2 linked regions of the Macaca fascicularis genome follow. The protein of the gene in region 1 purifies or fractionates together with the protein of each later gene. This does not show direct contact. Links are inferred from orthologs where the notes say so. Each region holds a gene or a part of one and is shown on either strand. Other genes may lie near its edges.

Region 1 (4,590 bases):
CCTGGGGAATGGAGGACATTAGGGTCCTCAATTTACAGACAGATTAAATAAAAAGTTGTTCAAGGTCAAGTAGCTCCTAGGTGCTTTTGAGCCTAGGTTAGCCTGACTCCTCATCCCACTAAGCAAGAACCATACTTGTGCCCAGCCCAGGGACTGGTACGTGGTGGGTGCCTAGTGCTGGTTGAATGAATGAGTGGGTGATAAATGACTTCTGCTAGGGTCATCAGGAGGCCTTCTCAAGGAAGTGGCACTGAGGCTGGACTTGGGGAACAGCAGGAATTCTCTGGGCAAAGAAGGTGGAAGGGCATTTTAGGCAGGAGGAACAGTGTGTGCAGGCAGAGGTGTGGAGACCCGTGGCATGTTCTGGCATGTTCTGGAATCTGTGGAATCAGGGTGTACCTGTGGATTTATGGGATGTGGGATGCCAGATAAGGTGGGGCCTGACTACACCACACTGAGGAGTTGGGACTGGATCCTTTTGAGTAGGGAGAGCCCACCAGGAAGGGAAACAGTTGTGGTGATTTGCATGTTGCTCTTCTTATGCTGACATCCTCAAGGCTCAGGAGAGCCAGAGGGGATTTCAGATTTCATCAGTTCTCCACCTGGCTTTGGGGGCCTCAGTCTCTCCCTCTCTGCACTGGGGCTAGTTGGTGATGGCCAGACTCCCAGGGAAGTTCTGCTGGCTGTCTAACTGCAGGTGTTCTCTCGTCCTACCACCCTGGAAGGAGGAGCACTTTCCCTCCTGTCTCCTCGGAGGGCTAGAGTGACGTGGTAGGATGGTCAGGAAGTAGCTGGTTTGACAGGTGCTGCTGGGGGTTCCGTGACACCCCAGACTGTGGGGCCCAGGCCTGACAGCTTGGGGTAATGGAGAACGACAGAGAACAAGAGACTAGGGTTTGGCCTTGTTCTGTCATCTCTGGGTGACGTTGGCCGAGTTTCTGAGCCTCTCTGGTACCCAGTCTCGCCATCTGTAAAATGGGGCAATGGTGACTGAGTGATCGTGAGGGTCCCTCCAACAGGGCCACCTCGGACTCCCGGAGTGGGGTGCTTCGGGTCCTTAACCGGCGGTACTTCGGGAGAGTACGAGGACCGCCAAGGAGAGGGGCCGGACTCCGTGGGACCCCAGATGGACCAGCTACCACCCATCCCCTTCCCGGCTCAGAGGAACTCTCTCCACCTGCCCCCTGGGGGGGGCCCACAAAACCCGGGAGCGGATCCAGGAACGGGTTCTGGGAGGAGCGCTCCTGGGGTGAGGAGGAAAACCCGGGCAGGATCCAGGGCAGGAGCGGGGCCAGCAGCCCCCAGCCCCAGCCCCTGCTCAGCGCCGCTGGCCCCGCAGGAAGGGGCCTGAGGCCGGGTTAGGCCGAGGGGCGGGCAGGGCGGGTCCCCGCGGGCCGCCGGGGCTCCCAGGATGGGGGACGCGCGGCCTCCGCAGTGGGGCGCGGGTCACGTGTGAGGAGGGGCGAAAGTCTCGCAAAGCGGGGCGGCGTGCCGCGAGTTGGGAGTTCTCGGCGCGCCGCGGGCGGCGGGAGCTCGGGCTCCCGGGCGAGCCGGGGACGCGGCCGAGGCGGGGGCCGGGGTCCGAGACAGAGGGGGCCGCACGGAGAGTGGGAGGGGGAGAGACAGAGAAGGACAGAGGCCGCGAGGGAGACGGACAGAGACTCGCAGGGGAGAGAGGCAGCGCGGGCAGAGGGAGGCGGGAGGAGGCCAGGGGGCGACCGCGACGGAGACGGAGACCCCGCGGGCAGAGGGCGAGCGGGGCCGCAGGAGGCAGGGAGGCCGGGAGAGGGACGGGGACGCGAGGGCGGCGGAGACCCCGGCGGCGGGAGAGAGACGCAAGAGCGGTCGGGGAGGTGGCGGCAGAGCCCGGCCGGCGGGGGCGGGGAGGGCGACCCCAGGCCGGGAGGCCGAGGGGTCGCGGGGCCGGGGCCGAGCGCAGCGGGGCCGGGAGCGGAGCGCAGGGCCGGGGCCAGAGCGCGCGACCAGGAGCGGGTAACAGCGAGGGAGCGGCGCGCAGCGGGGGGCGGCGGCGGGGAGGGCGCCTGCGGCGGGGGTGGGGGGCGCGGGCGGTGGGGCGCCCCGGGCCCCCGGACCCCCGCGCTCTGAGCCCGGCCGAGCCCGACGATGCTGACGCCGAGGCGGCGCCTAGGGCGCGGCGCGGGGCAGCGCTGAAAGTTGGGCGGCCCGCGGGGAGCGGCGCGGGACGGCCGGGACGCGCGGAGACCCCAAGACCCACGCGCAGACCGAGCGGCAGCCGGGGAGGGGGGCGCGGGCCGGCCGGCCGAGTTCGGAGGCAGGAGGCACCGGGACTCCCCTCTCCGCGCCCGGGACGCCGCCCGCCGGATCCCGCCGTGGGATGTAGCGCCCGCTCGCCGCCTCCCGGACTCTCGTCGGACCCTCCGCCCAGCGGTAAGCCGCGCTCGCCCACCCCGGGCGCTGTCCGTCAGTCTGTCCGTCAGTCTGTCCCGCCGCGTGCGTGTCTGTGTGTCCCGGGCCCGCCGCTCCGGCCCCTCCCGCTCCGCACCTGATCCGGAGCTGGGTCCCGGCTGCCCGGCGCCGCGCGCGCGGTCCCGTGACTCCCCGGGAGCGGGCGGGCTCTGTCCGTCTGGGAGCGTCGCGGTCTGGGTTGTGTACTGGAAAGGGGGAGAGAGGTGGGTGGAAGGGGTCTTGACCTCCTGCCCCGGCCATGACCTTTCCCTGCCTCCACCCACCCCAGTTGTCATGCCGGGGAGCTTCAAGGCAGGTGACTTGTGGCAAGGTGGGGGATGGCGCCTTTCCGCCTCCCCAGCTGCAGCCTCGTTGCAAATGGCCCTGTGATCTGAAGAACGAAATCCCACTTCTCATGTTTTGAGCGCCTGCTTTGCGCCACACGACCCCAGGGCGCAGGGGCAGGGATCGGTAGAGGAGGCACTGCACATTCATAGTGATAGAAACTGCGGCTGCGGAGGGAGGCAGAGGCTGCTTTTTCCTCCGAGTGTAGGGAGCACCCCAAGGCAAGAGAGGTCTCAATGAGCCTCCCGCAGGGAGAACTTCCCCTGCAACCGACCAAATATACCCCCACCAGTGTCAGCCTCCCTGCCCCCTACCCACACTTCTGCCCCCAGTGTCCCCGCTTCAGGATGGAGAGGATGCAGGGAGTTGAGAGGTGGCAAGCTGGGTGGGGTGGAGCAGAGGGTATTAGAGGCAGGGCAGCCTTGCCAGCTGACAGAGCAGGGCCTCAAGAGCAGTAGAATGTTCAGCAGCAGGTTTGGGGGAAGTGGGGAACTCAGGGAGGGAGGCCCAGAGAAGGGTTGGAGCTGTGTGTGTGTGTGTGTGTGTGTGTGTGTGTGTGTGTGTGTGTGTGTGTGTGTTCGTTCTCCCCCACATCGAGTCCCATGACCTCCATGGCTTCAGGCCTTTTGGGGGCAGTTAGCAGGACTTTAGGGGCCCAAGAGCATTGCTGTCGCTCTGGCTTGGCCTGTGATGAGGGGAGCAAAAGGTGGAACAGGGCAGCTGGGGTAAGAGATGGGTGCAGCATGGTGGGAACAGAGACTGTTGGCCACTGAGCTGACCCATATCCCAGCTGGAGTTGGAAGGGCTGAGCCTAGAACATTCCACTCCATTCTCATTGGGAGGAGGGACTCTTTCTGGGGTTTTCCACACTGGGCAGTGGGTCTTATATGTCTTCCATTCAGGCTCCCAGAAATTGGCTCAGCTGGCTGGGAGAGCAGCCCTCTGGGCTGGTCACTCTCCTCCCAACTGTCAGCTTCCATGTCTGTGGCATGGGGACATCACTCCCTCCCCCAGTGACCTCCAAGGCAGGCCCTGGGCTCAATGAGCAGAGGGCTGTTCACAGACTGGGGAAAGCGCTGGGGAGATGGGAGTAAAGACTTACTTTACCTTAAAAGACAGATGAACAGCTAGTGGGTGGAGGTGGACATGGGGCAGTGGGAATATGGTGGAAATAGAGAGCTGACCAAGGAGGAGTGTCCAGGATTAGAGTGGGAATCTGGGGTACTATTCCTCATGGCCCTTTGGGTCATCCTTGAAAAGAAAGCTCTTCTCTCAGAAAATCCTCTGGAGTGGCTGTGACCAGGCAGAGCTGGTTGAGTTTCTGCTGGGTGACCTTGGGTGGGTGGCTTGACCTCTCTGAACCTCAGTTTCTTCAACTGGAGAACAGGGATGATGATACTGACTTCATCAGGGTGTTGAGCACTTTCCAGACTGTGTCAGGTCTGTGAAAGCCGCGTGCGCCAGCCTGGAGCATAGTAGGTTCGTAGACATTTGCGAAAGAGAGAATGAAGTAGCTCTGGGAGATGCTGTGAGAAGATGTCTTAGCTTAGGATAAGAAGGAAGGGGAGGAGGAACAGTGTAGGCTTACAGGGCGGGCTGCTTCTTAATGTGGATCTGGGGGAGGCGGGGGCGAGTGCTAAGGGGGGTGTGAGGAGGAGGGGGCCCCTCTGCGGGGACCACTGAGTCACGAGGACATGTAAGCGACATGACAACCAGCAACATGGTAACCAGGAAACTAGCGGCGGTGGGAAACAGAGCTGGAGCAGTGTGGGGTGGGGGTGGCGGGTAGGCCTGGTAGCGCTGGGCTCAAGGGGTCCC
Region 2 (3,800 bases), on another chromosome or scaffold:
TCATGCTCAGGTAACGTTTAACTTTGGTCTTTTGTAGAGATAGGGTTTCACCATGTTATCCAAGCTGGAGGAATTTTTTTTTTTTTTTTTTTTTTTTTTGAGACGGAGTCTCGCTCTGCCGCCCAGGCTGGAGTGCAATGGCCGGATCTCAGCTCACTGCAAGCTCCGCTTCCCGGGTTCACGCCATTCTCCTGCCTCAGCCTCCCAAGTAGCTGGGACTACAGGCACCCGCCACCATACCCGGCTAGTTTTTTGTATTTTTTAGTAGAGACGGGGTTTCACCGTGTTAGCCAGGATGGTCTCGATCTCCTGACCTCGTGATCCGCCCGTCTCGGCCTCCCAAAGTGCTGGGATTACAGGCTTGAGCCACCGCGCCCGGCTTTTTTTTTTTTTTTTGAGAGAGAGTCTCGTTCTGTCACCCAGGCTGGAGTGCAGTGGCACAATCTTGGCTCATTACAACCTCCGCCTCCTGAGTTCAAGCAATTCTCCTGCCTCGGCCTCCCGAGTACCTGGGATTATAGACATGAGCCACCACGCCCAGCCGATTTTTGTATTTTTAGTAGAGACGGGATTTCACCATGTTAGCCAGGTTACTCTTAACCTCAAGTAATCTGCCTGCCTTGGCCTCCACAGTGCTGGGATTACAGGCGTGAGCCACTGTGCCTGGCTAAGATTTTTCTTTTTTAAAGAAGAATTCCCACTAATAAATGTTCCCCACTCCAAAGAAAGAAAGAAGTAGAATATCATCGTTTTGCAGTCCCTGATACATATCAGAACCAGGCGGTGATTGTCAATGTGGCTAAAACTCACCTGAAAGGCTGATGGGGTGCCATATAATGGATGGACAGGGCTGACGACCCTGAACCTACCATTAATCTTACCTGACAGAAAGACAGCCAGACATTGTATCCTGTGGTGATGCCGTAGGAAGAACATAGCGCTACCTATGAAGTATACAGGACTTACTAAAAAAACCTCTGAATTGAACTTGAAACTGATCAAGCCTCCAGCATGAACTGCCAGTTTACAGGAGATACAGGGGCAGAGGCATAGGCTAAACAAACCACAGGAGGGTAAGCAGTAATTTCCCTGTTAGAATTTCCCTCATAGGGCCAGGTGCGGTGGCTCACGCCTGTAATCCCAGCACTTTGGGAGGCATAGGCGGGCGGATCACGAGGTCGGGAGATAAAGACCATCCTGACTAACATGGTGAAACCCCGTCTCTACTAAAAATACAAAAAAATTAACCGGGAGTGGTGGTGGGTGCCTGTAGTCCCAGCTACTCTGGAGACTGAGGCAGGAGAATGGCGTGAACCCAGGAGGTGGAGCTTGCAGTGAGCCAAGATCGCGCCACTGCACTCCAGCCTGGGTGACAGAGCGAGACTCCGCCTCAAAAAAAAAAAAAAAAAAAAAAGAATTTCCCTCCTAGGCTGGTCAAGGTGGCTCACGCCTGTAATCCCAGCACTTTGGGAGGCATAGGCGGGTGGATCATTTGATGTCAGAAGTTCAAGACCAACCTGGCCAACATGGTGAAACACCATCTCTACTAAAAATACAAAAATTAGCTGGGCGTGGTGGTGCGTGCCTGTAATTCCAGCTACTCAGGAGGCTGAGGCAGGAGAATCGTTCGAACCTGGGAGGCAGAGGCTTCTGTGAGCTGAGATCACAGCACTGCACTCCAGCCTGAGACTCCTTCTCAAAAAAAAAAAAAAAAAAAAAAGAATTTCCCTCATAGAATGTGGGAAATTCTTTTAGAGAAATGACCTAGTTTTTCTTAACAAATGGATGGCAAAGAGTTGGGGGGAAAAAGAGGGAGAAGAATTTTATGGATTAAGAGATTTGAGTGACACAGGAACCAAAAGAAAACTCCCAAAGCGTAATATTAATGTTCCCTTTGACTTCCCCATCCCTGGCATACTGAGGACATATAATGTTTAAATTCTTTATCCCTTAGGACAACCAGCCTGTGATGTCACCTCTAAATTCCTGACCCCTGACGTCACTGTGATCCGATATCCCCTTACCACCCCACCCCGGCGTCTCTGAGAGAACAACTTCCCTTCCACCTGACTTTGGCTCTCCTGGCACCTGGGGAGAAGGTTGGGTGGCGGATGCTGTTTCCCTCCAGGCACTTTCATCTCTGCCCTGTGTCTTCCTCAGCTTATTCTCAGCACCTGGACAACGAGATCAGTCACAGCAGCTACCTGGGCACCGATTACCCCACAGCCATGACCCCCACTTCCCCTCGGCGCTACTCCCCAGTGGCCAAGGACCTGCTCGGGGAGGAAGACATTCCCCGAGAACCGAGGCGAATTGTGATCCACCGGGGCTCCACGGGCCTGGGCTTCAACATCGTGGGTGGCGAGGACGGTGAAGGCATCTTCATCTCCTTTATCCTGGCCGGGGGCCCTGCAGACCTCAGTGGGGAGCTGCGGAAGGGGGACCAGATCCTGTCGGTGAGGGAAGGCCTGCCCCTACCTGCACCACCCCCTCCCCTCAGGGCAGAGCGCAGAGCTCTTGGGGAGGGGCCTGGGTGGGCTGCAGCCGAGTCCTCTTGCGGGACCACTCCCTGCTCCACCTGGACCCAGAAGTGCTGGCTTCTGTCTCTGGTGACACAGCCTGTCCTCCTCTCTCTAGGTCAACGGTGTTGACCTCCGAAATGCCAGCCACGAGCAGGCCGCCATTGCCCTGAAGAATGCAGGTCAGACGGTCACGATCATCGCTCAGTATAAACCAGAAGGTACCAGGCCAGAAGTTCCTGTCTTGTGAGCTAAAATGGCCCTTAGAACTCTGCCTCCTCAGCTGATGGCTTCAGTAGGGGAGGACAGGGGTGGCAGTAGGATGGGGACAGAGCTCAGGAACCTCCCTGTCCTTCCTCAGAGTACAGCCGATTCGAGGCCAAGATCCACGACCTCCGGGAACAGCTCATGAACAGCAGCCTGGGCTCAGGGACTGCCTCCCTGCGGAGCAACCCCAAAAGGGGTTTCTACATCAGGTCAGAGGCTCCCCGGGCTGGGCTCCTCCGCCCCTCTGCGTTCCTGGGCACTCCGTGCCTGGCCCAGGCCTCAGCCGCTCCTCCTCTCTACCCTGCCTGCTCTGACTCCCCACCCCAGGCCTGAGGCGCAGCAGGGGTTCATGGGCTTCACTGCACAGGTTAACGTTTGAAATACTCCCTGTCGATGGGAAAATAGCCTCTACCCCAAGTATCCCAGTTGCCTTCTAGCCCCTGGTCATCCCAGCACTTCCTCGGGACTCCCAGGCCACCGCACAATTTGGCTTCTCGAAGGTTAATGCTTGGTGGAGCATGGTCCTCTAGGGTATTTGGAGTGTTGCCCTAGCCTTCACATCCCTGTGGGCAGTTCCGGAGAGGTGGGCTGCAGCTCTGTGGTGCCTGCCCCCCTCTCTCCAGCGGTGCTGTGGGCAGTTCCGGAGAGGTGGGCTGCAGCTCCGTGGTGCCTGCCCCCGTCTCTCCAGTGGCATTTTCTCCCCTCTTAGGGTTCGTCTCCATTGACTCTTTTTGTGGCTTAGGTTTCCGCCAAAGCACATCTCCGTCCCGCCCCCACGGGTCACCCCCTACTTCTCTCCCCGTCTGGCCCTGTGGCTTGCATGGCCTCGTCTGCCACTCCGCTCTGCAGATGTCTCTCGGAGCTGTTGGCCCTGGCTGACCTCTTTCTGGAGGTCAAGACCTGCACTTTTGGCCATCTGCTTTCTGGCCATCTCCACTGGGATGTCCCACAGGCATCCCACACTCAACATGTCCCACACTGAGCTCACCATCCTGCTGTGGAACTGTGTTCTGT

The links.
Region 2: the proteins of KCNJ4 (region 1) and DLG4 purify together in Homo sapiens (affinity purification with western blotting, with the first as the bait; 3 studies listed by BioGRID). This does not show direct contact. The link is inferred for Macaca fascicularis from reciprocal best matches to the Homo sapiens genes KCNJ4 and DLG4.

The regions. Positions count from the first base shown.
Region 1 is NC_088384.1:13,196,207-13,200,796, forward strand, and holds the start of KCNJ4 (inward rectifier potassium channel 4), read left to right. Parts: upstream 1-1,495; 5' UTR 1,496-2,409; intron 2,410-4,590. UniProt on the Homo sapiens protein: Inward rectifier potassium channels are characterized by a greater tendency to allow potassium to flow into the cell rather than out of it.
Region 2 is NC_088390.1:7,243,468-7,247,267, reverse strand, and holds part of DLG4 (disks large homolog 4), read left to right. Parts: intron 1-2,160; coding exon 2,161-2,456; intron 2,457-2,637; coding exon 2,638-2,740; intron 2,741-2,880; coding exon 2,881-2,995; intron 2,996-3,800. UniProt on the Homo sapiens protein: Postsynaptic scaffolding protein that plays a critical role in synaptogenesis and synaptic plasticity by providing a platform for the postsynaptic clustering of crucial synaptic proteins.